Linked DNA regions of Drosophila melanogaster. The protein of the gene in region 2 interacts with the protein of the main gene of each other region in a pairwise test. Each region holds a gene or a part of one and is shown on either strand. Other genes may lie near its edges.

Region 1 (10,086 bases), on a different chromosome or scaffold from region 2:
GTGTCCATAATAACTTCATATTTGTAAAATGCATGTGTTTAGGATGTGAACGAATTAACCCACTTAAAGGGCCTGTTCCTTGCCCGTCCACTGGGGCTTAATTTCCAAAGGGTAAACGCGCTTACCCTCGATGACATAGACAGCTCCGTTCTTGTCCTTCTCCAGGACATTCAGAATGCATCGAGAGACATCAGCGGCACTCTGCTTGTTTAGCCTATCCAGGATCCTATAGGTCTCGTCACTCGTTTCCGGGAAGATGATCTTCTCCGTAAAGTTGGTGAACATGTCCGTCATTGTAGCTCCAGGACAAACAGTCACAAACTTGATGCCCGAGCGTTGATAGTACTTTTCGTTCTAATTAAGAAAGAGACTTAAATGAAAAACCTAATTCAAAAGATATGTAAGAAATTCTTGTTACCGCCAAGCACCGGGTGAAGTTGATGATGCCAGCCTTGGTGGCTCCGTAAACGGGAATGATGAACATTGGATCCAGACCCACCACCGAGCTCATGTTAACCACAATGCCACCCTTGCCGCCATTATCCTTGCCCATGTAGGGCAATGCACTCAGTGTGGAATTGATGATTCCACCGAGATTTACCAACAGAGTCCTCTGCACATCCTTGTCGTTAAAAATCCCGGCTACATTGACCACAATATCGATGTTACCGAAGGTCTTGGCTATCTCCTCATAGGTGGCTTCCACACCCTTCTTGTTCGCCACATCCATCTTGATGATCATTACGCTTTGGGTGGGATGAGCGGCCCTAAGTTTTACAAACTCCTCCAGATTATCCTGCAAATCAATGATGGCCACCTTCTAGGAAGCACTCGCTTTAGAAATTACTTCACGTAATTATGTGTAAAACAACCAACCGCTGCTCCAGCGGCCAGGAGCTGCTTGGACACCTGCAGTCCAATGCCTCCAGCTCCACCGGTCACCACTGCATTCTTGCCGCGAAAGGACATCTTGGTCTGGCTGATTCGTGTAGTAGTCGGTGGTATTCCTTGTGGCTTCATCAAGCACTGAGCTCCTCAGTTGCACTGCTGACTTGGAGCTGTAATGTTCGCCGCTTTTATACCTATTTCCCAAGGGCTATATGATATATCGTTGAGTGACTTTGGTTCGACTGCAATCAATAGCTAGTTTTCCACCTGCTCTGGGTTAGGATTATGCAACTTATGCCCATATATCAATTTCCATCCCCATCTGGTCGCTGTAGCGTTCAGTCTGCTTCACACCGCTCCGGTTTTTCGATGTCAGCTTTGCATCAGTGATAATGTCATTGTGTAGATAAAGCAATGATCTCTTAATAACTATCTTCCAGTGAAATCTTTGCTTTTAAGAAGGTACACATGTTGGGCATTTTTCAAAGATCTTACAATTAAATGTATATTTCGATTTACAAAACCATCTTAATTGCTTTAAAATTTTGGTTTTTTAAATTGTATTTCCTCCCAATACAAATTTTAGCAATGCAAATATTTTAAAGTGTATTTATTCAAGCAAAATTCTTGTGAAAACATAACATATATCTACATATGTATGTCGTATATCTTTGGTTTCCATATGTGATATTTAAATTTCTTTCACAAATTGTAATATTAAAAGTTTATCTGTTATCTTAAGACTACCAAACATGGGTTTGATTGCCATGAAATGTATATAAATTTGATTTGGATTTACTTTTGAACTCTTTTTGGGCCGCTTCAAAATTTTACGTATCAAAGGACAAAGAAGGATAAACAAAGTAAAGGAACTCAAAAATTATAATCAAAAATATAAGTTTATTTGTAAGCACTTAAATTATCACAAACTTATTATATACACAAAGATAAATTAGATTGGGAGACATTAACTAGGGAAACACAAAAGTTAGAAATACAGATTTATGAGAGGGTGAAAAACGGTGGTTACCCCATCTAGTGGGCATTGTCGTAGGTGTCCTTGTGCTGGTAGCCACTCACATATCCGGATCCATCGACCACGTTCCGTCTGCCCGCGATACCCTTGCCCTTTCCGGAGGCATCGAAACGCTCCTTGTGGGAACCGGTGTACTTGCTCGTATCCGTCAATCGATCCACGGCAGCTGCGGCTTTTCCAGCCTAAAAATGGTAACAAAATGTTGATTAGGTTTTCAATAAAGGCATAAAGTATATGGTTATGACTTTCAAAGGTTTAAAAAGATATTTTTTAAGAACTTCTGTAAGAAAACTACTTTAACAATTGATAGTTTAAATGAGTCAAAAAAAAATCATTTAAATTTTGTCATATCTAAATGGTCTTCTCGAAGTTCTTTACACTTTAAAATCAATCTTAATCATTTGACTTATATAGATCATATTTTTCACAACCAATTTATCAAACCCACCGAAACGGACACAACTCCTGGAGCTCCACAACTGGCCAACTTTTGCTTGATCTCCGACAGCTCCACCTTTTTCGTCTTGGCCAGATCGTCCAGGAATTTGTTGTAGTCGCTGAGCGAGATCTTCATGGCCTTGAACTTCTTGAAGTGGATGCCTGTATCCGTGGTGGTGATCTTCTTGTCGATAACTTTGGCCTGTTTCATCCACTTGTCACTCTGCGACAGCGTTATCAGCTTGCCATCGGACTTGGAGTCCCCGAACTTGGAGAAGGCCTTGAACTGATCCGAAAAGCTAACCTTGGGCTCATCCTCCAGCGCCAATTGGGCCAACTCGGTAGCGGGCACCTCAGGAGTTGGCGCTGGGGAGGGGCTTCCATTTGCTGCAGCTACCTCGGACATGGTGGATCTGAAAAATATATTTAATATTATATATATTTTTTTAACCTTTACTGAACCCTACAGGTGTTTTAATAGATGCCCAGTAATAAATAAACAACTACGGACAAAGAACCTTCAATTTTACAGATGGACTGAGGATCATTTATTATTAATAATATGCCTAGCCTGATAGGTCATTGTTTTGTTTAACATTTTGTAGTGGTTTCTTCCAACACGCAACTTTTCCGCTCCTGCGTAATCGGTTGACTACGGTTGTCACCTACGCAGTTCCTCACCTGTGGGCCACAACGCTCACCAACATTGCGGTGGGTCTTGTCCGTCACTGTCAACTATCTACATATGTAGGTGCTATTCCCAGACGTATCTTTGCGAACACCTTATCAGTACTTTACTCACTTCGCTTTCGCAATGATATCACAACCCATGCTGAACTGGACAAAGGCAAAGCTATACCCACCCAAAGCTAGGCCAAAGCTCTCTCAGCTAGATTTCGAGAGATGGAAATCTAAAGGCAAATTGGGAGAGACTCAATCATTAGATGGCGTCATCGGTTTGGGTCCCCCATCTCCCAACGCAGCTAATTATCGCCTTTTGGCAAACCCAAATACACAAAACAAATAGTCAACAGGTTTGGCTCACATGGGTTACTCTATGGGGGTCAGAACTTAGCGCTAGCTTGCTAGATCTTTTATGATTAGTCTCTAGCATGCAGTTATCATGGGTTTTAATAATCCTAAGGCGATATTAGGTATTTACGGTACAGCTATACAGTTATAGATATACCCTAAAATTATTAAAATGAATCACTTTTACGCTTATTAAAATAACAAAAAGAGCAATAAATATTTTACGCATCGCCAGAAATTCCTCGCTTAATTTGTTACCCACCGAACGTGGCATAAATTTGGATGATAATTTAGTTTTAAAATTGCTTGTAGCATAAATTGTCCTCTTGTTTACAGGCTACCCAACACGAAGTCGAATCCTCAGACCCATCCCCATCATTCCATAAACAGTAAATAAAACGTGAGCATTTATTGGCGGAGCCATTAATTACGCACCACTTAAGGTTGCAAGTTGGAGCCCCAGGAGAGATGGAAGCCGTTTGGGCAAGCATTTAATGCGGCGATAAGATGCGACTGCAACCAGTTTGGAGTCCTCTATCCGTGAGATATGATGCCACGGCTTGTGCCCGCACAGATGCGAATCGAAATCGAAGTGGACGGGCGGGGTAGAATCACCATGACCTTGATGCAGCCCGTCGAGCATGTCAAATACTATTTTACCACCCCCTAGCCCCATTCGCAATCCAAATCGAAAAATGAGTGCTTATGTCATCGCCTCATTACGCCGGCTCTTGATTACGCTGTTCTGGGATCAGCTTTGAATAGCTCTGGGGTGAGGCAATTTAATAGCCCATATTCCCCAGATAATCCATCGAAATGATCTATGTAAACTGAGTGGTTAATTGGGAACATTGCATGCATAGCAAGTCTGCCGGTCATTAATCATCTTATTGGTCTCAAGACCAGGGCCATTGAACTTGAACTCCGCTCAAGACGATACAAATTATCCGGTCCCAGTTCCCGGACAAGACTAATGGAACCCTTTACTCCGCCCCTACATGTAATTGGAAGCCATAAATACTCGGAAACAAGAAAAGTTGACAAACTACACCACAAAAGAAGTTGGAATATGCAAGAAGAGTTTTAAGATGGCAAAAAACAAGAGGCTATCGACTAGGAAATTACCTGTAAAATCAAAACTAATAAGAAATATCTTTAGGTTATCTATGGTGGCTTTCAAAATGCTTTTTTTCACAATAGAATTCATTTTGTAATATTAGTAAAATCAATCTTTTTTAACTACCATCAGCCAATGCAAATAGTTCGGATTGTTAGATCCAATTTTCTACACTAAGATTGACGTTATTAGTTTGATTTTTAATAGAAGCCCGATTGCTAATAATTTTCTGAAAGGTTTTACAAAAATCTAAATATTATAATTATTCGAGGGAAATACTAACAGTTTAAGATGATCGTAATCAATTTAAAAAGCGGAAGTATTAAATCATCGCAATCGACAATGGAAAGACTCATCCTATGATACCCTGATCAGACTTGGATACTATATTCACACAAAATAAATTATTTTCTTAATATTCTTTGGCAACTCAAAGTGCAGATACCCCTCGTGAAATGAATGGCAGAAAATCAGGCAGTCTGATGGGGAGCGTGGATAGTCTAAATCAGAAATAATCCGCTTGCTTGTCAGACCATAAATAATTCGATTCTTCTCATTTCCCATCTCTGTTTTGGATTCTTTCTCTGTATTTTCGATTTGGAGAACAAGTTCTCATCCAGCTCCAGTCGAGCATTGCGAATTCGTTGCCAACATTTTAATTAGTTTTCTACCAAAATGGTAAAAGTTAATTGGGCAATATATATGACATATGACCACAATTTGAATAGGAATATGAATGAATATTATAGATAGCCATTTTCGAAAAGAATGGACTTCCTGGAGAGGGGAACGCAATTATAAACCCAACCTACCTCAAGTGGACCGCTGGAAAGCGAATGGAGGAAGCGAAATTTGGGTCATCTCGATGTATATTTATAAAACAAACGACTTTGGGGGGAGAAACATGAAATACTGCACCACATATGAGTTTACGTGTGTTAATAAACACACAGAAATATTAGCACCTCGGACTGAATGCATAAATTAAAGAGAACTTTTATTTTGGGGGGAACAAAACAGGAAGTCATGGGCATTCTGATAGAGCACGCAACGCAATAGAGAAATCATTGACTTAGGAGGGGGACTTATGCTCGGGACATAATATGTGTATGAAATGTGTAGCTACATCACCACTAGCCCAGATGACATCACTGGGAGCTGGGAAACGCGCAAGCGCCAGTTTGGAGAAGGGGTTTCCTGGGGGGTCTCGGTACTGGAATTTCAGACTGATGATTCAAATGCACGCATATATACACACGGAAGCGGGGAAAATGCGCCTAAATCAGGACCTCCCAAAGGAAATCGAAAACAATGGTGCTCCCCAGGAACAAAAGAAAAGGGGAACGCGATGCGCGGTAAGTGGGTCAAAATCTGCTCTTGAAAATATGAACCTGCTACTCATAAAATGAATAAAAAAAATATCCTTGGCTCGGAGTCTGCTTATAGATGCAGGATACAGTAACATTTTAAAAAAAAAAATAAATCCAACGAACTAGATTATTTTTCTCGAAACGTTTCCAACTTACATTTGTTATTAAAAAAGTTCCAAAAATTCTTGAATATATTTCCAAAAAAATATTTGTTTTATTCCTCGGCTATTTTCCAATCACTTTAAGGCAAACGCGCGAATGCTGGCGATGTCGAAACTCAACTGTTTGGACAAATGCGCAGCCAGTGGCTAGCGAAGGCCCAAGCGGCGTATGAGTGATATTTTTGTTTTGAGTGAGCTTTCGCTGAGTGAAATAGAAACTCAAAAAGGAAAATCCTCCTTAGCATTTTATCCAAAGAAAAGATGGCAAATCGTTGGTGAGCTAACATAAATTCCAAAACTTTCTGAATGAGATAAGGAAAACGATTTGGATCTTATAGACACTTTTACTGACCCCCCAATTTTTTTTCAAGCGATGACTTCATTTCGCAAAATTTTATACACGAAAACTAACAACGAAAGCCACACGACGAAGCCATTTATCAGAAAGAAAAAGAAACAAACGAGACCTAAAAACAACTCAGAATAACAAAAGTGACGCTACACACCAGAATCTTATCAAACCAACAAGTTACACTCAAAATTTTGGTTTGTTGTGAGTGAAATTCTAGGGAATAAAGCTTAAAGCTTTTCCTGATTTTATATTGTCTAAAGAGAAGGGGAGGGGTTCGCCACACAGTCTGAGCTACTAAAACAGTGAGTTTGTAGTCAGTAAATTTGTTTAAGCGCAAAAAAACAAAAAACGATGCGTGAAATTGTTGGGCAAAAAACACACACAACAAGTGCCAGACAATTCGAATAATGAAGGGTGTATCTTTTGGGCTTACTTAGACGTGTTTTTGGGGTGTGACTTGGGCTATACTAACCAGTGAGCTCATGCTTAGCTATGCAAATGAGTACTTATTTCAAGCGGTTAAGATTTGTCGACCGCCTTACTAGGTAAATGGGTTCTTTGAACTTTTCTATTTTGGACATTCAGGAAAAAGTAAAAGTCAAATAGGAAATCATAAGGAAATTACTTCGCACTCCATAAAATGATTAAACACATACTGAAACAACAAGCCCGTCCTAAACCCAAAACAAACCCTAAACGAACGAAAAAAAAACCTTTGACATTGATTTATGAGAACTGACGGTCGGAAGAATTTGGTAAGTTTTTGTGGCCAACTCGATGAAGTCATAGCCCTGGCCCAAAACCAAAATACAAAGCAACTGAAAGACTAACTTGGAAAACGAAATACCCTGAGGAGACTTCTAATTAATTTCGTAAATTAAGCATTAGGTATTACAAACAGAGGTCCATTGATTATTATTATTTAATATACAATGTTTGATATGTAATTTAAATATTTCATTCTACAATATTCATTTAGTTTATTGACCAGATGACGTTTAGAATATTCTTTAATTAAAATTAGAAAGAGTTAAATTTCCTATATTTATGGAATGTTTTACAGCTGAAATACCTTTTAGACTGATTCGTTTGCTCTTTTTTTCTAGGACATAAAATCAAAGTACTCCCAGTCCTGAAAAATGAAAAACATGATTCTTGCCACCTGGCCTATCTTAAGTGCACCTTTAATTAGCCACGAAGGCAGTTCAAAGAACCAATGGTGGTACACAAATCAGGGCACAGTCCACTCGAGACAGAACAAAGGGAGTGAACCAAGTGGACCGGACTATATTGCCAATCCAACTTCAATTCCAGGCCAGAACTAACCAGCTCATTAAGCCAGGCTGGAATGGTTGTAGAGAATTGGGCTTTGATTGAAACTGAGTGCCAACGGGGCTAACATTAAAACGCACTTATCAGCCGAGCCGTCAAGGCCAATCCAATGTGGTTCTTGCAGTTGCTCCTCCTCCTCCTCCTAATCGGGAGCGAAGTTTAAGCACCAGAGATCTGAGGCATCCGATAAGCCCGCTGCTAAAAATAAAAATGACCAGCGAAGGAGGAACAGGAGATACCAATGCAGCTGCAGTGCATCAGAGGCGGATGGGAAACATATTCTTAGGGGGTTTTCTTAGTGTCCGGTTGAAATAAGTATATATCTTCAGTGTATACTATAAGGTGTCTAAAAATTCACATTATATTATTTATTTAGCGGACTTAACGATTTAATTAACCCTTTTCTGTGTCATATTTGTAAGCTCTTCGCATAAAACATATATTTCTTATGTACATACATATGTATCTAACCAAGTATTATAATTTTTAAGGGTACTTATGACCCCCCTAAGACCCCCATTTTGTTCGCCACTGGAGTGCATGACTCCCGTGTCCAAGCTGTGGCCAAATGTGGCCCTTGGCCTTCACTCACCTTGAGATGCCGTTGTTGTCGTCGTCGGTTGTTGCCACAGTTGTTGCATTTGCTGTTGCAGTTGAAGTTGCTGTTGTTGTCGTGGCCCCGTTGCAGTGTGCGAACAAAAAGGAGGCTGAGATGCCACAATGCTGTGGCAGCAACAACGATTGCATATCAATTACACGCTGGTCTGGATGCGGTCTTTGGCCTTGATGGTCCACCCAGCCAAGGCCCTTGGCTCGCTTGCAGATCCAGATGCAGATGCAGATGGAGATGCCAGGCAGCGATTGCTCCTCCCGCTGCGGAGAACCAGGGTCTGCCTCCCTCATTTGGGCCCACTCCAGCCTTGGCCACAATTAAACCAAATTGACAACGCCTTCACGAGGCGTCGATCCCCAAAAGGGGAGTGAAAGGCGGAGCTGCAATGTCCGTTAACGACACAAGTGGACACGACGACGCATTCGCATCTCCTCGTTTGCATTGAAGTGCATCTGATGGATACATTTGGAGAAAAAATTAATTGGCTGTTTACTATTTTAAAATGTGACAGATATTATTACTATTAGGTTATTCTTTAATGAAATACGTGTGCTTGTACAAATTTGATGAATTCTATTTAAGTACAATAAACCACCTTTTTTATCAATAATAAAATATTTTTTTAATGATTGTCATAATCATAAAATTAAAATTTCAGGAATTTAAGAACAGTCTTTTTTAGCAATATTATTATTTATATGCATTTAAATTTATGTTTTAAGCTTTGTACAAATCATTATTAAACAAATTACGAACTACTTATTTTTGGATTTAATTTAAGTCATAAAAATCACGTTACTATATTAGGGTAAAAGAGCATAAAACATTTGTATACTCTCTTAGATAATAATATGGCATACTTTTAGAATTTTTTCGCAGTGTATCAGAATAGAAGCATCTGACCGGCAGGAACCTCAGCCAGAACCAGAACCTAGAACTCGCGAAAGAACCTGCTGGGTATAAAAGGATGAAGACCTAGGCTCAGAATCAACAGTTACCAGTGAACTGACGAACAAGACTCACTCGAAGCAATCTTCCACTGCCCAACCATGAAGTATCCACTTCTGCTGTTAGGAAGCCTCAGCTTGGCCCACGGACTGGCCTTGTACTATCCCTATGCGTACACTGCCGAGGGATCCGCCGTGTTCACGCCCACCCAGCGCCAGTATATCGCCAAGGATGAGTTGGGTCAGTACTCCTATGGCTATTCGGAACCATTGTCCAGCAAACAGGAGACCCGCACCCTAGACGGAATCACCCAAGGATACTATAGTTACCGGGATGCGGCGGGAAAGCTGCAAACGGTTAACTATGTGGCCGACAACAAAGGTTTCCATGTGGCAGCCACTAATCTGCCAAAGGCTAAAGTTCCCCAGGAGTCGCTAGAATTTAGTCCCAGGAGCGCGTCGCATCCAGTAGACCACCATGTTGAGCATCACGCGGAGGTGTCGCATGCTGTAGTTCAGCATCCTGTTGGCCACCATCCCATTGAAGTTCCACATCATCACACTGTTGTTGAAAGCGGACGAAGTGCTCATCCAGATGGACATCATCCCGTCGAGCACCACGAGCACCGCGTTGCTGTAGCTCAGCATCCTGTTGGCCATCATCCCGTGGAAGTTCCACATCATCACACTGTTGTCGAAACCGGCCGAAGTGCTCATCCAGATGGACATCATCCCGTCGAGCACCATGAGCACCCCGTTGCTGTAGCTCAGCATCCTGTTGGCAACCATCCCGTTGAGGT
Region 2 (6,336 bases):
CGATCTTGTTGATCAGATCGAGGGAGTGCAGCTTGAGGGCGCGGTGGTTCTTACGCAGGAATGTGCCCAATGCGGGCAACACGTCGTGCAGGATGGGTGTCAGATCTATGCGCAGGGACGAAGCTGCGATCAGGGTCAACGCCTTCACGCTGCTCAAACGGGTTACTTCGTTCTTTAGGCGCTCCATGAAGATTGGCAGGCAAACCGCCAGCTCATTCTGCAGCATGTCGCCCATGTTGGCGATAATCTGCCCCATGCAGGCTATGGCTCGCTCCTTTACCTCCTGGTCGACATCCGTCACTTTCAGTTTCTGCAATGTGCACGAGTAAACCTGACCCACAAACGATGGGGCATCAAAGTCGGACTTGGCCGCATTCGGTTCTAATGGACGAATCACCTTTACCAACTGCTGCAGCACCAAAAGCGCCTCGGTGGCAATCTTATAGAAAGGATCGAAGACCGAAGTCACTACGAGGGGCACCAGTAGGGGAATATGTGGATGAAAGACATGCGGCGGATGTCCTTGGAGCAGCGAGTAAAGGAATCCCAGAGATTCGATCTTCATGTTGCTGGTAGAGCTTTTGTCATTCAGCGAATAGCTTATGCCTGGCACAATGCTGTCCAAGTAGGGTCCCAGGGCACCTGGTAGCGAATTCAACAGCTCGCGCAGCAAGAGGAAGCAGTCTTGACGCGTTTTCATCGATTTTTCCCTCATTAACGGCTGTATGGCTTTCACAATGAGTGGCAGCTGCTCAATTAACAGCGAGGTCGGACCCGATACCTGATCCATTGAGTCGTGGTCGTTGGCCACGTCGTCGGTGAGGCGTGTGTTCTTTAGCAGGGCCACATAGGCGTGAAATATGTCGGACTTAACATTCTCCTCACGCTCCTTGAAGCGCGCAATCAAAGCCGGACTCAGGCTGCGATAGAAGTCCTCGACGAGCTCCTGCCGTGTGGATATCAAGACCTCCAGACACTTGGCTGCAGCGCGACGAACCTTCCAGCTCATGTCGTCGTCGTCACTGTACTCCTCACTATCGACGTACTCATCATCCTCCGTGTCCATGGCATTGCCAGTGTCGCCATCATCCGTCTCGTAGTTGTAGTTTGGATCGTAGGTGATATAGTTGAGGCACAGCTCCAGGATCTAACAAAACCCATAAGCTATTAAACGTGAATGAGAACATAAAGCATGTGTACTCCTTACCATGGGAATATGCGGGTTTATGGCATCTGGGCAGCGCATGACGAAAGCTTCGCAGGCCTGCAGACAAAACTCGCGCAGCTCATCGTCATCCCGCTGGCTGTACTGGCTCAGCAGGAGCATGGAGCGATCAATGTGATTGCAAAGTCGATGGCCAGCCTGTCGACTAAAGAGTAAAGTTAAATAAAATTGCATCTAAAGATCATATGGCATAAAATATATAACAATTTCAGGAATTGGAACTTACCATATCGAAGCCAGGCACTGAATGTAAGTTCGAATGGCAGCTGGATTTGGTGGGTTCTCTAGGCCATCGAGCAGATGATCGATGACACCGTTGTAGGCGTTGCTATTGGCCTGGATCAGCAGAAATGACAGGGCCACGATGGTACGCTTGCGAACAGCCTGGCGCGATGAGGCCAACTGGGGCATCAGAGCTTTCAGAATGGTGCTGTGGAAGGGAACGAGGAACTCCCCGAAGCGAGAGAGCAGATCGGCCAGAATGTCCAGCGACTCCAGTTTCACAGAGACGTCCTCCTATTAAGGAACAACGGATTAAACGTTTGGGTGCCTAGGGAATAGCAATATAACGCACCTTCTCAATTGCTGTGCTCAGTTTGCCGGTGATCCTTTGACAGACATTTGGGGCCAGGGAGTTTGAGGACTGCGGCAGCTCGGCAATCACTGTCTTTAGGCCAATACTCGATATGTCGCGCAGCTGCTCCGTGTTGGACATCATGTTGGCGCACAGCGAGTCCACGATGGTCTCCACCTGGATCTCCTTCACCTTGTTGACCAGGGGACCCAGGCACTTGACAGCCAGGTTCTGAACTTCGCCGTTCTTGTCTTCCAGCAGCTTGAGCACCATTCGCACCACCTTTTTCTCGGACTCGTCGTCCAGGATGATGCTATCCTTCTGTAGCTCCGTCATCAGATCGTTTGTCGCCATGAAACGGAAGTCCTTGTCCGTCGACGTCATCTGCAGCAGACGAGAGAGCGGAATTAGAATTTCGTTATGTTGCAAAAATGAAATTCTATACATACTTTTTCCAGCAAATTGGCAATTTGGTGGTACTGATGTGACGCCATAGCGAAGGCTTTGAAACGTTCGATCGATAGCAATTAACTGATAAGTGAAATATTGTGTATTTGTATTGGGCTGCCCTATTTTTGGTGTTCTAAAACTTGAAAATTTACTGAAATTTTTCCGGTATTGAATCTCCAAGTTTTATATTCACTCAATTTTGTTATAAAGGCTGCTTAAGTGGGCCCACTTTGAAAAACTAAAAAACCCACTTTATAATCCCTAATGCCTTTTGGATGCCGATAATGGTTTTGGTACATTTTCGTGGTATAAAATACGGTGGAGAAATATTTTGGAACAAGATTTTATGTACTAGTAAATTTTTATATTTAGGTTATTTTATTTTTGAGTTAATACATGACAATCAAAATATAAATATATATATTATCAAATATTAATTCCCAATTTATTTACTAGTAAAATACTTTGTGTCATTACCATCGTTTCAGATGAACGATATATCAGCTATGTGGCACTAAGAGTCTCCCATCTCTAGAAAAGTGCCGCTCGTTTTCAGGAATTATTTTAAACTAAACCGCAGCTCACTGCTAGAATTCAATCAAAATACCTTTTTAACACCAATAAATGCTAACAAAATGGATCAGATTTTAAACAAGGAAAACACCGGCATTAATTGTAAGTTGAATTAGGTTCGACTCCCGTTCGTGTTAGTAATTACATAGCCATTTATCATTGCAGTGCCAGCGAATCCCATTAAAAATGGAGTTCCTACAAATTCCGTATTGAAGAAACCTCTTGGTAACCTTGACAATGTGATGCACCAAACTCCTGGAATAACCCCGTTCAAAAGCACTTCTCTGAAACTCGAGGGTAGTATTGCCAAGCTTTCGCTGCGAAAGGCCCCCAAACAAAATGTGGTCAGCAGGGATCGCGAGGAAGTTAGGTATAAAACAAATAGCTGCTTTTTGGGCGCCTACGTATTGAATTGCGAATACAGAGTCGTCAATTTGTTCAACTACACTGACTTTCCGAACGAGAAATGTTTGAAGAACTGCAGCAAGCGTAAGTACCGCTCATATTAAACAACTCCCCTTGAAAATTGTACTATAAGTTGTATTATTACAGCGGTCACAGAGACCTGGTCGGAAAATCAAGAGGGCTATGAAGGACTATTGGATCAACTTTATCTTGATCTGCGCACATTGGAAAATAATTTGGAAAACAGATGCCTTCCGCCCCTAGATTTTACTGACCTGCCATACATATACAACACAGAAAACATGGAGCCTGCAGAGCCTGAATACTTATTAAATTTATATCCCCCATTGCCTAACTTGGAAGGCATTGATGTTCTATTTTAGATCCTTGTTTAAAAGTTCTATGATTAATTGTAGTTTAATATTTTTTAGCTAGGTATCTTTGTACTACTAATTAATTATTTATTAATGTTATGCTAAGAGAAACTGTTATACCATTAGCTATCCAAGTTTGTTGTCTCGAATCACATTTGTGAAAAATATTTTTTTTACGCTACAATATATTTAGTAGTTTAAGAACCGACATTAAGCCTCCAACAGGCAATTATATGTGTACGATGTACCTCGTTTGGAAGTGATTTTGAATTAAAGCAACTATAAAAACTAACTGGGAGATTAATTTATGGAGCTTTGGAGTTCAGTTGTGAATGTAAACAGAGTTTATTGCTTCCACCTTTTGTCTCTTGATATTTATCAGCATTCGCGGGGCTTAAGTATATTCACTCCGTTTATATTGAATTTGATATTTGGTGGAATAATTCTAATCTATTTTTAGGGTTTCCTCTGTGTTTGCCTAATATGAAAAGTTTATATTTATTTGGGAATTAAACATTTTTGTTCAGTAAACCAAAATATTTTCCCAGCTAGCTAGCTTTTGTTTGCATCTTGTTAGCCTTTTCCCGCTAAATGACGTCTGGCTTTTTTCTGGTGGCCAACAGTTGGCAACACTGCGGCACAGTAATGTATCCAGTTTTTTTTACATTGCTGCAGAAAGGTTTCTCGTCTCGCTGGTGACCTTAGTGGTCCGTTCTCCTGGATAAAATAAAAGTGAAAATTAACAATATGAGTGTATAAAACGAAATGTAAATGCAAAAGAGGTATAAATCTAACAAATAAACATATACTCGTGCAAATGAACATAAAAAGACTCACTTAAGATGTGCAATTGTTCACTAATAATTGTGTTTGTGTTAAAATTATGACCTAATACGGCAATTGGTACAAAATACATACGCATTTAACAAACTTTCCGACCACACCGAATCGAAAGACTTAGGCGACAAACTCGTAATTGCCGAGGGATGTTGCGATGTACATATGTTTAAAGACGTGGCAGTGTCACCAGTGCAACAATACATCTCTTGTATGTATGTAAACATATGCTGTTAATGTATAATATTTCCTGTCTGATGAAATCAAGATCGAAACTAATTACCGACACTTCAATGGACTTTTAGTGAACAAAAAATTAAATTAACACATGTACTAAGTATTTGTAGCCAATAAATTAATTAGATGTTAATTTCTGCAGCCACTGAATGATATGCGGTTTTATTTGTGCTGAAAACGAAACCCGAAACCATTCTTTGTTCAACACAATATTGAATAATCTTAAAAATGGTCTATCCCGAAGAACCTTTTTGGGTTTTACCAACCGTAACTGGATTTTACGAGGATAGAGATTATAGAGGTGAGTTTGATTTGTGTTTGTTTTTTTTTTTATCTATTAGTATAAACCAGTCGCATAATTCGCATATCGTTCAGTAAATGTCGTTGAAGCCCTACAAGAGTTTTGGCAAATGAAGCAGTCTCGTGGAGCTGAATTGAAAAATGGAGCTCTTGTGATTTACGAATCGATTCCGTCTAATAGCCAGCCATACATTTGCTTCGTAACACTTCCTGGAGGAAGCTGCTTTGGAAGTTTTCAAGTAACTACGTTATTAGCAAAGTGTTGACGCAGTGTTTTGTAACACATTTACTACATTTTAGAACTGTCCCACCAAGGCAGAGGCTCGTCGCAGTTCGGCCAAGATCGCCCTAATGAATTCCGTCTTTAATGAGCATCCATCGCGTCGAATCAGCGATGAGTTCATTCAAAAGGCGGTTCAGGATGCTCGCACTTCCTTCAAGGGCACATCGCAAATCAACGAGGGCACAGAATCGGGCATCGGAGCATTCAGGTGGGTTCCATAAACCATAATATATGCACTTGCTATTGAAACCCTATCTTTCTAAGTATTATGAATTAATAAACATTTTTCTGAGTTTAGATTCATGCTGGAGGCGAACAAGGGAAGAACCATGCTGGAGTTCCAGGAGCTTATGACCGTGTTCCAACTGCTTCACTGGAACGGATCGCTGAAAGCAATGCGCGAACGCCACTGCTCCAGGCAGGAAGTGGTGGCTCATTATTCGAACCGGAGCCTGGACGACGAGATGCGATCGCAGATGGCATTGGATTGGATTGCCAGGGAGCACGATAATCCAGGCGTTATTCGCAGGGAGTTGGTGCTCGCCGAGAGGGAGCTGGAGACCTTTCGCATGGCTGGGCGTGAATTGCGCTTTCCGAAGGAGAAGAAGGATATCCTTATGATAGCACATAATCAGCTGGGCGGCAGTGCCCTTAACTCGGCTACCATTGATGATTAATTGGAAAAATTAATAAGCACGATCGAAATTAACCCTTTTTTTAGATAAATCGTATAATTTCAACTTTAACGACGATCAATATTTATTTAATTGGCATACCATATGATCTCCATGATGAAAAACAAGCGGAAATTATTACACTTCCCACAAACACTTCCAAATTATGAAAATTAATTTAAAAATCTTTGAAAATGTGATTTTTAAAACAGCTGCTACACAAATAAGACTAAATCCAATAAAATAAATATAATATTTTAACTTAAAAGTTCATTTGTATTTTATGAATGCTAATATTGTTTAGCTAACCAAATATATTGTGGAATCCAAGGCAAGGGAAGCTACAAAGTTGAATTCAACTTTTGTACAAACTCATATTTCTGATGTGTTTCAGCTAATCTAAA
Region 3 (8,460 bases), 2.4 Mb from region 2:
TACGGTCAACAGCGTAGCGCACGTAAGTTCTCAGAACATCTCTCAATCTCAATGAAATCTATTAACATCTTAATTATTTTTAAACAGTCTGCTGCTAGACGTGCGGCCGTCGACTGGTTTGCCAGAACTGGCGTTAACATTGCCAATAAATTATATAGACAGGGAGTGACCATTACGAAAACAGTTGATGAAATGCTTTTCAAGGGCTACGAGCATCCATTCATAAGCGTGGGCAAGCTGTTGAGACCTCAGGATGTTCCCTACAAACGTATAGGCTACCATTACCCACGAAATGGCAGTTCCGAGTTCGATGGTGATATCAACATGTTTACAGGAGCTGATGATATCGCTAAAATGGGTCAGATTCATACGTGGAATAATTTGACGCATACTGGAGCCTTTGAGGGCACCTGCGGGCAGGTGCACGGCTCGATGGGCGAATTCTTTCCGCCCAATCTTGGCACCAAAGACACCGTCTACATGTACATGCCCAAGATGTGTCGTGCTATACCATTGGACTACGTGGAAACTGTGACCGTGCACGGCGTGACCGCCTACAAATTCAGTGGCACCCGGCACGCTGTGGACAATGGCACTCTATATCCGGATACCCGTTGCTATTGCGTCGGAGGAAAGTGTATGCCCAGCGGTGTGATCAATATCGGACCCTGCTCCTTTAACGCATCCGTCTACATGTCCTTTCCGCACTTTTACATGGCGGATCCAAGCTATCTGGAGGCCATCGAGGGTTTGCGACCAGAACGCGAGAAGCACGAGTTCTTCATGGCCCTGGAGCCCAATGCGGGCGTGCCAATGGACGTGGGTGGTGGCTTTCAGGCCAACTACTACATGGAGCCAATTCCGGGTATTACGTAAGTAACTTGACCTTTACATAAGCCTTTTCCTTACATAAACTAATATTTTCATTTTCTTTCAGCTTGTATGAGAATGTCCCGACGGTCATGATACCCATGATGTGGTGCGAGGAGCGCGTACGCGTATCAGAGGAAATTGCCGCAGACATTGCGCTTGTTCCGCTAATTGTCCTGCTGGGGCAGATAGTAACCGGCATCCTTTTGGCGGGCGGTCTTATATGCACCTGCTGGTACCCGACGCGACAAGTGACGCACTTTTGTCACAGCGATCCAAAGGCGAAGGCCAGTGTCCTGCGACCACTGAACGCCTTTGGTGTAAATTCGTCGGCAGCCACAGCGCCGGTGGCCCAACTATTCCGGAACAACATTAGTTCATCGGGCAACGAGCGTGTGGGAGTGCGCCTACTGGATTATAATCGCGATTCTGGCATAAGACTGGAGAGTGGTACCATGGAAAGCTCGCACAGGGAGCGTCTGATCAGCGAGGACTCGCCCGATGTTGTAGTTAGATAATACATGCGTTGGCATCAAGCCATTCTGACGGTGCCGCCAACGATCATCTGCCTGAGACTCATTTACGTCGCCGTAGCTTAGAATAGCTTAGAACAACGTGATGAAACCATTCTGCCTTAGCCAGGCTCTAAGAGGCTGGACCAAGTTGCTCATCGAGGATGTCGTTCCAATTCACGTCACATACCACCACATTACCTACCACGCATGCCCCAATCGCATTAGGAGTTCCCTCAACACATCTGCACGCTTTGCGGACAGCGAGAGAGATTTATAAGATTATTTATTTTAGTGCCAAATAACAGCAGAAAACGCAAGCAAAAAGTCATTAACTATTTTAGTAGGATAAACTAAATTGTATATAGAGCGACTCGCTTAGAGCGCCCCATTACTCATTTTCCTTAATTCTTGAAGTTTAAACTGCGCATGCCCAAAGTATTTATATTTATATAATAATGCATAACATTTGTAGAGCGATATTTAAGATTTTAATGCAGATTGATCTGAAGTTATATAGAAATAATATTGAACAGAGAACATAGGTAGCGAGAATTGTTGCTCATTTACATAGGTAGGCCGAAAAACTAAAAATTATAGTTGTTGTTTTAAGTCTTGTACAAATAACGCTAGCACTGCAAAGATTACGCATATCCTATGTACAAATGTCGATCAGTGTAAGATCTAAATACCTAGATTATAAAGCACAGCTGTGAACCCCGGAAATATTTCCAAAAATTCCTTAAGATAAATGAATAGAAAAAATTATTAAAATCAAGTGATCAAAGAGGGACTTTCTGAAAATGGCAGTAGTTACTAAAACTACGTATGGAGACCCTGAAAAAAAAATATCCAAACATATCTTCATATAAATTTTAAATTCGAAATCCAATCAATTTATACATTTGTTACTATTAAACTTTACATTTGTCTTTGCCTTGAGAAACATATTCCCTTAAATAAGTTTCTTTAAATCCACACAATACACTTGAATAATTAAATGTGTTTTAAAATTCATCTTTTTTATATAAGATGACTCGTCATCCAAGGCGATTTCCAACAATTCCACCTAAACGAAAATAAAACTGTCAACACATAAAAGTATAAGTTTTAATTATGTTTTCTGGAAGTTGTATAAAAATTGCTCTGATTACCGTACTTATATTAATTACGTATATTATAACCGCTGCATCCAGCTGGACAGAGCCCAAAAACAAAGGCTCATGAAACTGAAGCCAAACAGGGATTTGAAGGTGCTGGCTCCGTTGCCGGGATTGTCCAGGTTCAATTGTGAGGCCAGCTCCTCCGGCACATCCAGATAGACTCTATCCAAGCCGAAGCTGAAGATCAGTTTGCGCAACTTATCCACATCCACATAGTCACCGGCAGACGACCAGATGGTCAGGGTGCTCTCGTTTGTCTCGTTCACCGCGGCCACCAGTCGATGCAGTTGCTCCTCGCTGTTGGCGGCAATGCCAGCGCGCACGGGAAAGGTTATGGCCTGGCCAGTGGATAGGACATTGTTCTCGCTCAGCGTTTCCAGCATGTCATCACACTGCTGCTGCGTGTACTCGCCATCCCGGAAGTCGGCTCCCCAGTTAGTTGTCCAGCCAATGGAGAGCACTGCCTGTTTGTAGCGCATACAGCCGGCGAAGAATCGGTCCGCATCAACGGGTACGGTTCTATTCTGTTCCACGGGACCACTTAGAATATCGGCGTTTATCCACACAGGATACGTGGTAGGCTGCACAACACAGAGATATTGTTTAATTTGTTCTGATATCTGAGATTCGATGACCAAACTTACGTTCGGAATATTCACGTCCAGAATGTCCAGGGAACCCTCGAATACCTCGATCGACTTGAAGTCGAGCTTAACGCCCTTTTTTTGGTCCTCATGATCACGGTTGAAATTAATGATCTGGTTGAGAAATTCCGACAGCGTAAGATCAGAGACATTGGCCGGCGGATGGGCCATTATGGGCATGTCCTCGCCATCGCCATTCAGTTTGCCCAGCACAATGTCCGCTTCGATGAAGTCAATGCCACCTTGGGCAGGGAAATGATACTATTGATAAGTTGGTTACACGCGCATATTTGGCCAATGATCTTACTGGTTTCGGTTAGGACCTCGTCCAGCAATTGCTGGCTGTTGACGGCATGGGCCCAGGTAATGGCAGTGAGATTTGTGCCCCATACCTTCATCATATCCGACTGTTTGAGGAATATATATTCGATCTGGGAATCGTCTGGCGCTGTCTGCTCGACCACCACTTGGTACTGATAATTGCTGGCGTTCAGAGCAGACCCATTGATTTTGGCCACGAGCACTGCGAGTGGACGTGAAATAGACGGCATTAATATTCCACAATTGGACAATGGGACGCACAGAGGGCATAATATGGCAGATACGCGTAGATAAGCCCATTTGCCTTCCTTACCACCCTACCAGCGAGAATTGATACGCAAACACATGCAATCCAATCCAATGTGAATTTGTTTACTTCGCAATGAGCGTGTACATATGTATGTGTGCGCGAATGGACTCTAATTAACTCCCTTTGTTATGCGATTTTTATGGAATGCAAAGCGCGTTGTGCCCTTCTTCCGCTTTCACCGAATGCTGCAATGCAACTGCACATCAATAATTCTCTTCAATCTGTCAGCTGTGCAATGGCGCAAGCGTAGAGAGCAGACGTGAAGTGAGAATGGCGAGAAATGTGCTTAACTTCAAGAGACCGACGCTCATATACCCTAGCTCTAAGAGTTTACATGACAACTTATTGACAAAAAATAACAAAATGTTGCTATTTTACGTTTTACCCCCTTTTTGCGATTGTGTAAATGTATTATCAAGTAATGTTACCCAACACACTCGTCAGATTTAAATGTTTTAATTGAGTACAGGAGCATCGACTATCAGATACCTGTTAGTTTTTTTAAGTTATGTCAAAACTAAACTGTCTGGATCCTAATGTTTCCAAGCGACCCAGGGGTCGTATGTACATGAGTTAAAAACATTAAAAAATGATGATATGTAATGATTTTGAAAAGTGCAAAAATACGAATTACCAAATAGTAGCGTTGTAAGTAGAAAGGTAATTTTTGAGTCCATTTTTTCTATAGGTCTAAGGGCACTTGATCATGAACTTGGGACCGCCACGGTTAGAAACGAACTAAATGGCAATTTTTCAGTTTGGCTTATCGATAGCATTTGCTGATTTAATTAAACATTGATTAAGTATTGTAAATTGGTAGTGACAATCTATCCGCATATCCCAAAATCTAATCTTTTAAGTGGTCACGTTATCCGATGAACTCGCGGACTAGTTAAACTAGTTACTACATTATAAAGAAGAAAGAACAAACAAACGTTTTTATGGAAATTATTACCACACATCTTGTAAAATCATATATTTCATTAAGTACGATTTACATTTATTTGCTTATTAAAAGATAAAATGTTATTTAAATAAGTTTAGACCGCGGTCTCTGTTAGAAAAGCGTTGCATTTTAACATTTCTGTTAAATGAGCAGCAGTAATAGAAGAGAAAACGTAAGAGAGCGGTTCAAAGAGCGGCACTAGAGTGACCATGCGGCGGTACACAAGAAATGCGGCCAATAAGCGAGAGCACAAACTTTACCGAAACGAGCGCTAGAAGAACTGGCCACACTACACCCCCGACACTCAGTTTTAGTTCGAAAATTTAACGGCTCTGGAACCGTTCGGACGTGTCGCTCTCGGTGCGCGTGTGTGTGAGTGGCGAATATAAATATCGGGGGAAAAGCTCGCACGTGCGACGCTTGCGAAAAAAAAAATTGAAAATATATAGTAAAATTGTTGTTTTATTTATGAGTCGAACTAATGTCCCGTCAGTTGACTAAGGACAACGCCAAGAAATAAAAAATAGTTTTAGGAGAAATAGTTTCACGACTTTATTCTTTGGATCTCAGCTTAAGACTAAAAATCAAATGCAAATTGGATTGAGGAGAAGCCTCAGTATTTGAACAATATTTGTATTTCGGGAGAGCCTCGCTCTTGGGTTCTTAAGATTAGGTAGCGTTGAAAGAGGGCAGTCAAATCTGCTTAGGTCAGGCTTTAGGATGTTTACAAGAACGGCTGCGCTGCCAAAGATAAACGAATGCTGCGCAGCTGGGATACGTTATGGAAAATTACTAGAGTGCATTACTGATTTCTTTGAAATAATGGAAGTGGCTGGTTTGGACCACCCAAATACGTCACTCCCCTTCCCTTAAAGAGAAGCCTATACTTGGGCTGGGATTGATGGATATAGTGTGGGAAATGGAGTTTCTTCTATTTCTGTTTGTTGTGGTGTGTTTTGATTTTGATTTTTTCTTATTTTAAGTTTTGCATACAGCATCATAAATGGTTTAAATGATACATATCTTAAATATGAGTACAACAAAATTAGTGCGATTATTACAATGATCATTTGTATGTAAAGTGTAATATTGTTCTCTGAAATCATCTCAACAATGTCGTTGTGTTTTACAATTTTTATTTTTGTTATATTAAGTGGTGTGTATAGTGATGTCAAATCTATTTCTGGTTCTAACAGATTTTCACTTAAAATTATATTATTGATTTCTATTTTGCATTGCGTTACTCTTATCATTTTGTTTCCTTCTATTTTTATTTTATTAATTGAATTTTGGCAATTTTGGTTAAGAATTGTTTGGGTTAAGTTCCAGGTTACAATTGTGTTTGGTTCTATGTATTTTATTATTTCGTTCGTGTGTACTGGCTTAAAATTACAAATTGGATTTAAGTGTTTAATAATATTGGTGACACATTCATTTTTTACTTCTTTATTTTCGGTATTATAAACTTTATTTTCTTTTTCAAAATATGATTGTGTGTCTGTGTAATCTAGCTGATAGCCGTTGGAGTCTGGGTAAGGAATTATTTTAATTGTGCTTATTAGTGAAAGGTAAATGGGTATGTGGGATATGATTAATACTTGGTTATCATTGTAGTTAATCCAAGTGGATGTTTTAATGTTCAAAATGTTTTGGCTGTTCACATTTTCAAGTTTGTCGTAGTTTAGTAATTTGGGGTTAAACAGTCCAAGTCTGGAAAGCTGCATAGCCATTTCCAAATCTTCTATGTATTCCGTCATTTATCAATCGTATGGCGTCGTTGAGTTCATGTAATTTTACTGAGTTATGGACGTTGATTTCAAGTTTTTTCTGTATTTCGACTCGATCATTTTCATCTAGTGTTCCAAATAGGTATTTAAAACCTGAACCCACAATGTTAATAAGACCCCGTTTGTTTCTATGTTTCAGGGTTATTCCGGCTAGTTCTCTTTTTATTTTATTGTATAAAAAATTGATCTGGGGTGCATGGTAATCGGTTCGTAGTCTTTGCTCAAAATAGTCAACCACGATGTCTATTTCAGTTAAATTGATTTTTAAGGAGTGATGTTCAAAGGAGGATGGTATCTGTACTGGCTTATCAGAAAAAAGGAGGTATCCGTGGTTGGTGTCAATATTATTAATTTGAATTTGTTGTCCATGAACAGCTGTGATCAGTATAAACAATAGTGTTATCGGGTACCAGGTGCCTGTGAAATTGAGAGTTTATTATTTTTCTTTTGTTTTTTGAATTGTGTTTTGTAGTAGTGCGTAACTCTATTTCTATTAGTGATTTTGTAATGGTCAGGGTCTGTCTGTTCTACATTTTTGGTTGGTTTAAATGGGTTTTCTAATTTGCCTTTCTGTAGTGGACCTTTTCTGTAATTAGTGTCAATATTAAATTCCTGTCTGTCTTCATTTATTTTGTCTATTTTCTTCTCTTTAATTTTTTGAGTGTCTAATATGGGATGCCCAGCGTATAAGAAAATTTGAGCAGGTGTCTGTCCAGTAGTGTCATGTTTAATTTTATGGTTGTATGTGTAGAGGATTGTTTCTATCTTGCTTAATTTTACTTCTTCATCATCAGATGAATTGATTATACGAATTTTTTCATTTATTGTTTTGTGTAATCTTTCGACGTCTGCTACCCCGTTTTTTGCTGTATTGAGCTGTAATTCGACTTCTTCTTCTTCAAGCCATCGCTTTAAAGCTAAACTGGAGAAAGCTCCGTCTCTGTCTGCCTTTAATAATTTGGGTTTACCTAGTTGATTAAAAATGCGCATTAATGCGTTTCTGCATTCTATCCAATCCTTAGTTTTAATTTGCTCAAGTGTAGCGAATTTAGAATAAATATCAATGCAACTGATGTAATGTTTTCCCTCAGATGAATAAATATCTACTACAAATTTTTCTCGGCAATGTTCCGGGTTGGGTGTGATTTTTAAAGGCATTTTGGTGTTTCTATGTTCTGTTTTGGCCAAATTGCATATGTTGCATTCGTTTATTATATTCTGAATTAATAGTTGGCTATTTGGAAAGAAGTGATTTTCTTTAAATAATTTTGTCATTTTCTGTATACCAGGGTGTAAAAGTTTTTCATGTGATTGAAGTATGATTTCTTTGAATTCGGCGTATGAACCAACGTTCTTTAATAGGAAAAGACTGCGAATTACTTTTGTGTAGGTGGTATTAACAATTTCTATGTGTGCTCTTTGAATAATTTCAAAATCTACATCGCTCTCAATATAAATGGTAATGTTTCTATGGATAAAGTGATCGAGTAAAATTTGTTTGGCCTTTTCAAGTGTCATTACATCATATTGAATTGTGGTAATGGAGTTACCGAATATTTTTGAATGCTCTACTTTATTTTTATCGGATTTAATAAAGATTATTTGTTTTTTGAAATAATTTATTGGTTTTTCTGTTAAATGAATAAGGTTGCTATTGTCCTCTTCTGCACTATGTTGAGTAGCTTCACTATGATGATTTTCTTCAATTTTAATTCTTGATAATGCATCGGCAACTGAATTTTCTTTCCCTTTAATATAATCTATTTTAAATTGGTATTCGCTTAATCTAACTCTCCATCTTTCTAACTTAGCATTCGGTTCCTTTAAGTTATGAAGCCATCTAAGAGGTTGATGGTCACTGGCAATGAGAAATTGTCGTCCTAGTAAATAATGTCGAAAAGTTTTTG
Region 4 (7,006 bases), on a different chromosome or scaffold from region 2:
AAAACACCAAACATTTTATTCATGTTCTTGAAACAATAATAGCTAGTTAAGCATTTTGATCAGTATCAAAACTAAGTTAATATAGCCTTGTATTTCTGTATAAATGTTGAGTTAGAACCAAGAGCGTAGATTCCAAAGACGCCTATTTAGCGCATGCTGTTTTGTTTGGTCATAAACAAACCAGCTCTATCCTCTGTCGCGTTTTTTTTTTTTTTCGTAAAATTACAACTAATGAATGCGCAAATCCTATTGCTCTGATATATATATATCAACATAATTTGGTGCTTGTCTTGCAGCCGCCGAACGGAGAACAAGGACAAGCTGGTGGAGCAGATATACAAGGTGCTCAACGTGGGCGACACTATTTCAAAGGTGGTGAAGGCCCACGACACCGCCCGCGTGATCCAGAGCATGCTAAAGTACGCGTCGCCAGCTCTGCGGGCCGAGATCTCTGAGAAGCTGCTTCCCTTCACCGTGGAGATGTGCCAGTCGAAATACGCCCAGTTCTGCGTGCAACGGATGCTCAAGTACGGTGCGCCAGCCACCAAAGCCAAGCTGGTGGACAGCCTGTACGGACATATAGTGCGTTTGGCCGGACACAGCATCGGCAGTGGGCTGCTGGATTCGATGTATCAGAGCGCCACACCCAATCAGCGCATCTATATGCGCCAGGAGTTCTACGGCGATCTGTACCGGAAGGCCAAGGATTCGAATGTGAAGACTCTGAGCGACACCTATAAGGAGGCCACGAACATGAAGGCCTCCATTTTGGGGTCGGTTAAAGCAAACCTGGATCATGTGGCCAACAAGCAGCTGGTGGACAGTGCGCTGGTGCACGCCGTGATGCTGGAGTACCTGCGCGCCTGCGACGAAGATGAGGAGAAGCTGGAGGAGACGGTCACTGCGTTTGCGGCTCTAGTGCCTCACATGCTGTCCACCAAGGAGGGCAGCGAGGCGGCTGTTATATGCTTCTACAAGTCGACGCCCAAGAATCGCAGAGTAAGTGGATCACGTATAACGTGTGTTGATGAAACAGAATCTTATATGTATTCTAACCCCTTCTTCAGGCCATTATCAAGAATATCAAGGAGCACCTGCTAAAGATCGCCAACCATGAGCACGGCCACGTGTTCCTCATCTCGCTGCTAAACGCACTGGACGACACTAAGGCGACCAAGAAGGCAATTTACGATCACCTACACGGAGATCTAAAGGCGCTAATGAGCAGCCCGTACGGCCGACGAGTGATTCAATGGCTGGTGGCTCCGGGTGATACGACATGCTTCCATCCAGAGTTCATTCGCACGGTGGAGGAGGGTCTAGCCTTTGGAAAAAAGGAGAAGGAGCTGCGTCGCAAGGAGATCCTTGAGCAGATAGAGGCGCCGATTGCACAGTCCATCGCCGAGGATGCCGCCTTTTGGCTGTCCAACAGCCACATCGGCCTGGTCACCGGCGATATTCTTAATCACAGTAAGTGCACACTTCTGAAAGCCATAGCAGAAACATACATATGGATTTACAAGAATATGTTCACGATATTAATGTACGTTTGCATCTCTGCCTTTTAGTTCAAGGCGAGTCCTATGAGAAGGCTGCTTCGGCCCTTGCCCAAGTCGTCGTCCAACCGGAGTGGCGCATTTCAGCAGACGCCGCCGGTCCGCAGCCGCAGGATAAGAAGAAGCCTCACAATGACGTGGAGGCCATTATAGCCCAGGCCACCAAACAGCGCAGAAAACTGCTTTATGTCGAGAGCAGCAGCGACGACGAAGATGAAGATGAAGATGAAGATGAGGAGAGCGACGATGAAGGAGACGAGAAGGAGCAGAAGGAGGCGGCCGCAGATGATGCCGAACCCAAGGTGAAGAAAGCCAAAAAGGAGCCCAAAAAGCCAAAGGCAAAGGAGGAGGAGCCGGCGGCTCCGTTGGTCTCCGGAATCGAGGAGGCCGGCATGCACATTGTATTGAAGAAGATACTCAAGAACGATGGCAAGCGAGAGGGCACCCCGTTCAGCCAACAGCTACTCCAAAACTTGTCCTCCGATGTGGTAAGTACCCAAAAATCATGCCATCCGGTAACCGAGGGTATCTTCCTTTTTCCCAGTCATGAGAAACGCATCGTACTTTTGAGTTTTTTCTTTTATTTAATGACGTTTCGACATTCCTTTAGCTTTAGTCTAATAAATAAGTAGTCGCAAAGTAAACAGCTTCACTCAGATTCCAATTCCTAATTGCGATTCCCTTTCCCTTTTCAGCTGAAAGCCTGGCTGGGCGTCAACCGGGCCTGTTTTGTCCTGCTCAAGCTGGTGGAGGAGTGTCCCGCACTGCTGGACGACTGCAAGAAAGCCATCGCGGCGGAGAGGAGCCTTAGCCAGATACTCGCGGACCGTAAGACGCCCGGAGCCAAGCTACTGGCCGCCAAACTGGACATTGGCAAATGAGAAACGCTTCTAGCCTAGACAAGACCTAACATTTTAAAATACAATAAATAATTCTATATTGAAATGGCTGGGCATTCCGTTTTATTCATGTGAAGGGACGCGAGTTGTGCTGTGGGTCGGTGCTCGATGAGTCTATGCCTTGCGCAGGATGATGTGCAGGCCGGAGTCGCTGTCGACGATGCCCGACAGCTGGTTGACGTTCAATTTGAAGGCAGCGTCCTCGAAAGCCGCCTGCATCTGACCTGTGAGATGTGAAATGTAATTAGAAGCAGTTGCAGGTCGGTTGGGTGGCCTAAACTCTACGATTGCAAGTAGCTCGCGAAGTTATAGGTACAAAAATGTGTAAGGTAAGGAAGATTAAAAAAGAAATGCCGCGGAGCCAATTGCAAATAGTGTTTGTCTATAACTATGCATCTATAATCTATTAGTGGTCGATATATCTTCTCTTCTCTTCTCTTGAATATTGAAAACAATCAGAGCCTCTAGTGGAAGTACCAATCTGTTTCTGGATTGCGCCTCAAGTGGGAAGCGCCTTATTCCTAAACGGACACACATCGAGGACCACTCGATCCTGGACGTGTGACAAATGCACAGTGGGGAGATATACATACCTCTGCCGAACTTTCCCAGGTCGCCGCCCCTCTTGGCGGAGCTGCAGTCGGAGTAGGAGCGGGCCAGCTCGTCGAATGTGGCCTCCTGCTGGACGATTTTGTTGCGATAGACCTCGAGGAGCAGCTGGGCCTCCTCCTTGGTGCGCGTGATGTTCGCCTCGCGCCACGAGCTGGGACGCCGACTGCCCTTGTGCTTAACCAGCAGATGCAGGCAATGCACCTCGTCCGGTGCATCTCCGCCGCCGGCGGATCCTCCGCCCGCCTTCTTCGCCGGCTCTGTGGGCTGATCCCACTGCGACTCCTTTGTGTACATATTGAGATAATAGCTCATTCCTGCAAAATCAATCATGATCAATCAAGTGCAGGTTCAGTTTAGCGTGCCGGTTCCGCATTCCGCCGGAAAACCGCCGGCATGGCACGAGCGGGACTGCACACGATGCTTACCTGTGGAGCGGCTAGTGCGCTTCTCCCAGCCGTCCGGTAGTTGCTCGGCATCTGGCATGCTGTTTTCACTTAATTTGAGTTAAATTACAAATAGTTTTCGGAATAAAATAAACCACCAGTGTGACCGCGCCGAACACGCTTTGAGAACATCCATCAAAATCGATAGCGCCTGCCATCGACATATCGATACACATGGTGGCGAATTCGCCAAATAAGGTGCTGGCACGTGCTAACTGCGGTGGGTGCACTCGCTAACCGCAGATACAGCTGAGGCCAATATAATAGCAGCGAACTAACAATAATGTGCTGATATGTGCTATTCTGATATGTTATATGTATCTTTTGCCGAAAAATTAGCACATAACTTAATTAAATCTATTCCAATACCTCCTTCAATCCGCGACACGAATAGAGGAATTTCAATTTTTCTAATGTTTATTCAGGGGATTAATAAAAATAAAATAAATACGTGGGCATTTGTACAATTAGTTTTAGTGCTTCCTTGACTTTATTACAGGCTAGCTTTAAGTAGGTTAACATTTTAAAAGGACTAGCACAGGGGAGTAATCCTCTCAGCTCAGCGTATGTATATATATATATATATATATATATTGCGTATTTGTAGGCATATGTGATATACATACATATGTATGTATATTTGCATTCAATATACTCATGTGGTTTTCTCGCAGGGAGTGGGCGAATACTTGGCGTTCTTGGAGTTAGCTAATTATTTAGTTAGGGGCGGGAGCAAGTGAGCTAATAAAAAAATTTAAATTAATTATACAAAACAATTAAATACATTTTATAAAAGTACAAACACACGATCTTCACTCACGACCTGAAGGAAGGGCTTGGCTTGGCCCTTTCATTCTTTTTCCCTCGATACAATTTTGCTTTGTCATGTCTTCTGGGGCAGCTACTCTGTCACGGCAGCTGCCCAGCGCATCTTCCCAGCGAACAACATTCGCATCCGGCTAACAGAGGTCTAACTTAATGCTTAATGACCAATTTACAACTCGATGGGGCTCCTCTAACGGGCTAAGATTAGTGGGTAACACCTCTAAGGTGCCTCTATTCATTTCATAAAACTAAACTCACATTGCAGGCGTGCTCTTCGACTTCTGGTTAATAAATGCACTTCCCGAGGCCGATTCACTAGCTCTGACAGGGACTCGAAGGCGCCAATCGAGACAAGCAAGACAAAAACTAGCGCCTTTTAGGCGCTTTCCTTGCGGAGACCTAAATGGCCACATAGCGGCGGTGCATGAATTAGGGAAATTTAAAAGAACTACTCGACGATGCTCCTTCAGTTGGCTAAAATTATAAATACACCTTGAAGGCGCTCCAGCCGTGGAAGCACTTGGTGAAACGGCGCGACTCCTTGTTCTTCATCGTGAGGAAGAGCTTCCTCGGCCGCTCCGGCTGCTTGATCCGCATGTGCTGGATGTAGACCTGGGCGGACTTGTAGGCCAGCTTCACCTCCACCTCGCTGCAACGCGGTCCCATCCACAGGAAGACGTGCTCGCCGTTGTCCAGGATCATGATATCGTCGTCGGCCAGATCGTCCTGGCAAAAGTCGGCGCACTTCTCGGCCACCGTGTAGTAGCCGCGCTCGTTGGAGCACCGGAACAGCCGCGTGTAGTTCATGTACTCGGCGTCCGTATCGTAAGGCTTGCGGCCGCCCAGCGCCACCCAGAAGAAGTTCTCCGGCTCGTCGCCCTCGTTGAGAATCTGCAAAGGATGGATGAAAAGAAACGATTAACAAGAGCGTGTACCTTAATATAAACATATGTACAATATATTCCACAAAACAGCCCACTACATGGTTGAACCACATTAACACATGGAACCCACCTGTAAGCTCACCCACGGCGAGTTGAACATCTGCTCGGCAATATCCTGCACCAGTTTGGCCTCTTCGTTGCAGGCCTTGCTGCCTATCCACACGTACACAATCCCCGACTGCGAATCGTCCTCCGTTTCAAATGGCACATGGAGTATGTAGCTGAAATAATGCGTATGGAATATAAATATTGGAGCGACTACTACTATGTTCGCTATCTTTTGGATATATATAAATAATACTGTGTCATATCACGTAGGCTTCCAGGAATTTCAGTTTCAACCAACGATAAGACAAGAATGTTGATCCAATAAAATCGCACTTGTCATACATCTCAAAAAAAAAAACTGGGTGATTATTACCACCCACAGTAATAAATTATTGGTAATTTGCTCACCAGAAGGTTGAGTTGAGATGCACTGCATCCGGATTAATTTGGATAAGGCGAGTGGTGAGCGCACCGCCGTTCGATCGCAGGTGAAAGAACTCAACTGGCGACTTGCCCTTCGCGGTGTGCGCCTTGTCCTTCCGCTTGCCGGTGTGGATGATGAACTTCCGCTTGAAGTGGGACATGAACTTGAGGTTCTCCTGCTGCTGGAAGATCCGCACCACCTCCAGCTCCTCGCCGAACATCGCCTTGAACTTCTTCTGCAGTGTAAAGGTAAACGTGAGCCATCCCATATTGCCGGCATTGCGTCCCTGCCAAAAGTAAACGACGCACTGGATCTCGTCCTCTGGCTGATTGTTGGCGCTGGATTTACTGACGTCTGCGGCTGGGTTAGCACCATCTTCGGAGCCATTCTCGGGCTCCTCGATGGGAATGCAATAGCGGCAGAGGAACACATAGCATTCGCCGGTGTAAAAGCGACCCAATTCCTCCTCGGGCAGCCGGACGAACTTCTTGTTCTCCAGTACAAAGGCCTCCATCATCTCCAGATCGTAGTTCCACTCCTCCTCCAACTGTTCCGCCTCCGCCAATGGCATGGCCGACTGTCGGGGCATAAATAGCGCGGCAAGATCCGTGCGCGTCTCCTGCTGCCGAGCCCACTGTGTGAGATTAGCCCCTGTCTTGGCCACCGACTTCGCCGTTCTCGTGAAGTCCACGGCCATTACCTCATCCCAGCCAGCGAACTTGGTTCGGAAGATCTGCATTTCATTGCCCTCGGGTACACGCATCACCAGCGCATAATCCGGACGATCCATCATGTTAAAGAGCTCCCGACTCAACTTGACAGCGGCCGCTCGGACCAAACGCGTCGACTTCTTGCCAAACCAAACGAACAGATCGGTGTAACAGTCGAGTATGTAGACGTGCTTGCTATTTAGCAAGGTATGGCAAAGTTTTTGCTCAGGTAACTCCACTTGCGGCAACTCCAGATAACCCATGCCAAGTTGCACCTGGTAGAGGCGAGGCTGCACCGGCTGATAGTCCTCTGGAACGTGCTCCTTTGGTGGCTCTGCGGCGTCTGCCTCCTCCGAGGTCATGCCCAGTCCTTGCCAGAATTCGGCACTCTCCTCGCCCTGCCGCTCCAACTGGATTTCACATTTGTTCTTGCGCTCCGTTTTGCTGATCTTTTCCGCCATTAACCTGGCCTTGGAGTTCAGCGTGTTCTTCGATCTTTCGCCCATCCAAATGTAAATATGGGTGCCCAGATCCAAGACAAAGGC

Evidence for each region.
Region 1: the proteins of pim (region 2) and ringer interact in a two-hybrid assay, tested with the Drosophila melanogaster proteins (one large-scale study listed by BioGRID).
Region 3: the proteins of pim (region 2) and CG7231 interact in a two-hybrid assay, tested with the Drosophila melanogaster proteins (one large-scale study listed by BioGRID).
Region 4: the proteins of pim (region 2) and dod interact in a two-hybrid assay, tested with the Drosophila melanogaster proteins (one large-scale study listed by BioGRID).

Annotation. Positions count from the first base shown.
Region 1 is NT_037436.4:16,353,262-16,363,347, forward strand, and holds ringer (ringmaker), read right to left. Parts: upstream 6,168-10,086; 5' UTR 6,038-6,167; intron 3,188-6,037; exon of another isoform or gene 3,044-3,187; intron 2,931-3,043; exon of another isoform or gene 2,830-2,930; intron 2,776-2,829; 5' UTR 2,769-2,775; coding exon 2,373-2,768; intron 2,107-2,372; coding exon 1,924-2,106; 3' UTR 1,485-1,923; downstream 1-1,484. Other genes in the region: Pdh (photoreceptor dehydrogenase), read right to left, coding at 64-354, 419-820, 877-1,020; Cpr72Ea (cuticular protein 72Ea), read left to right, coding at 9,389-10,086.
Region 2 is NT_033779.5:10,360,215-10,366,550, forward strand, and holds pim (pimples), read left to right. Parts: upstream 1-2,774; 5' UTR 2,775-2,884; coding exon 2,885-2,924; intron 2,925-2,987; coding exon 2,988-3,311; intron 3,312-3,374; coding exon 3,375-3,610; 3' UTR 3,611-3,878; downstream 3,879-6,336. Other genes in the region: Cand1 (Cullin-associated and neddylation-dissociated 1), read right to left, coding at 1-1,147, 1,208-1,370, 1,452-1,741, 1,800-2,183, 2,249-2,293; lft (lowfat), read left to right, coding at 4,904-4,976, 5,051-5,214, 5,276-5,466, 5,557-5,935.
Region 3 is NT_033779.5:7,980,805-7,989,264, reverse strand, and holds CG7231 (uncharacterized protein), read right to left. Parts: upstream 5,320-8,460; 5' UTR 5,027-5,319; intron 4,725-5,026; 5' UTR 4,498-4,724; coding exon 4,455-4,497; intron 3,991-4,454; exon of another isoform or gene 3,772-3,990; intron 3,713-3,771; coding exon 3,497-3,712; intron 3,432-3,496; coding exon 3,181-3,431; intron 3,127-3,180; coding exon 2,560-3,126; 3' UTR 2,480-2,559; downstream 1-2,479. Other genes in the region: pes (peste), read left to right, coding at 1-22, 88-872, 938-1,388.
Region 4 is NC_004354.4:21,341,995-21,349,000, reverse strand, and holds dod (dodo), read right to left. Parts: upstream 3,644-7,006; 5' UTR 3,551-3,643; coding exon 3,493-3,550; intron 3,382-3,492; coding exon 3,049-3,381; intron 2,680-3,048; coding exon 2,570-2,679; 3' UTR 2,438-2,569; coding exon of another isoform or gene 2,252-2,437; 3' UTR 2,143-2,251; downstream 1-2,142. Other genes in the region: peng (penguin), read left to right, coding at 297-999, 1,068-1,470, 1,569-2,044, 2,252-2,437; fliI (flightless I), read right to left, coding at 4,816-5,226, 5,350-5,500, 5,736-7,006.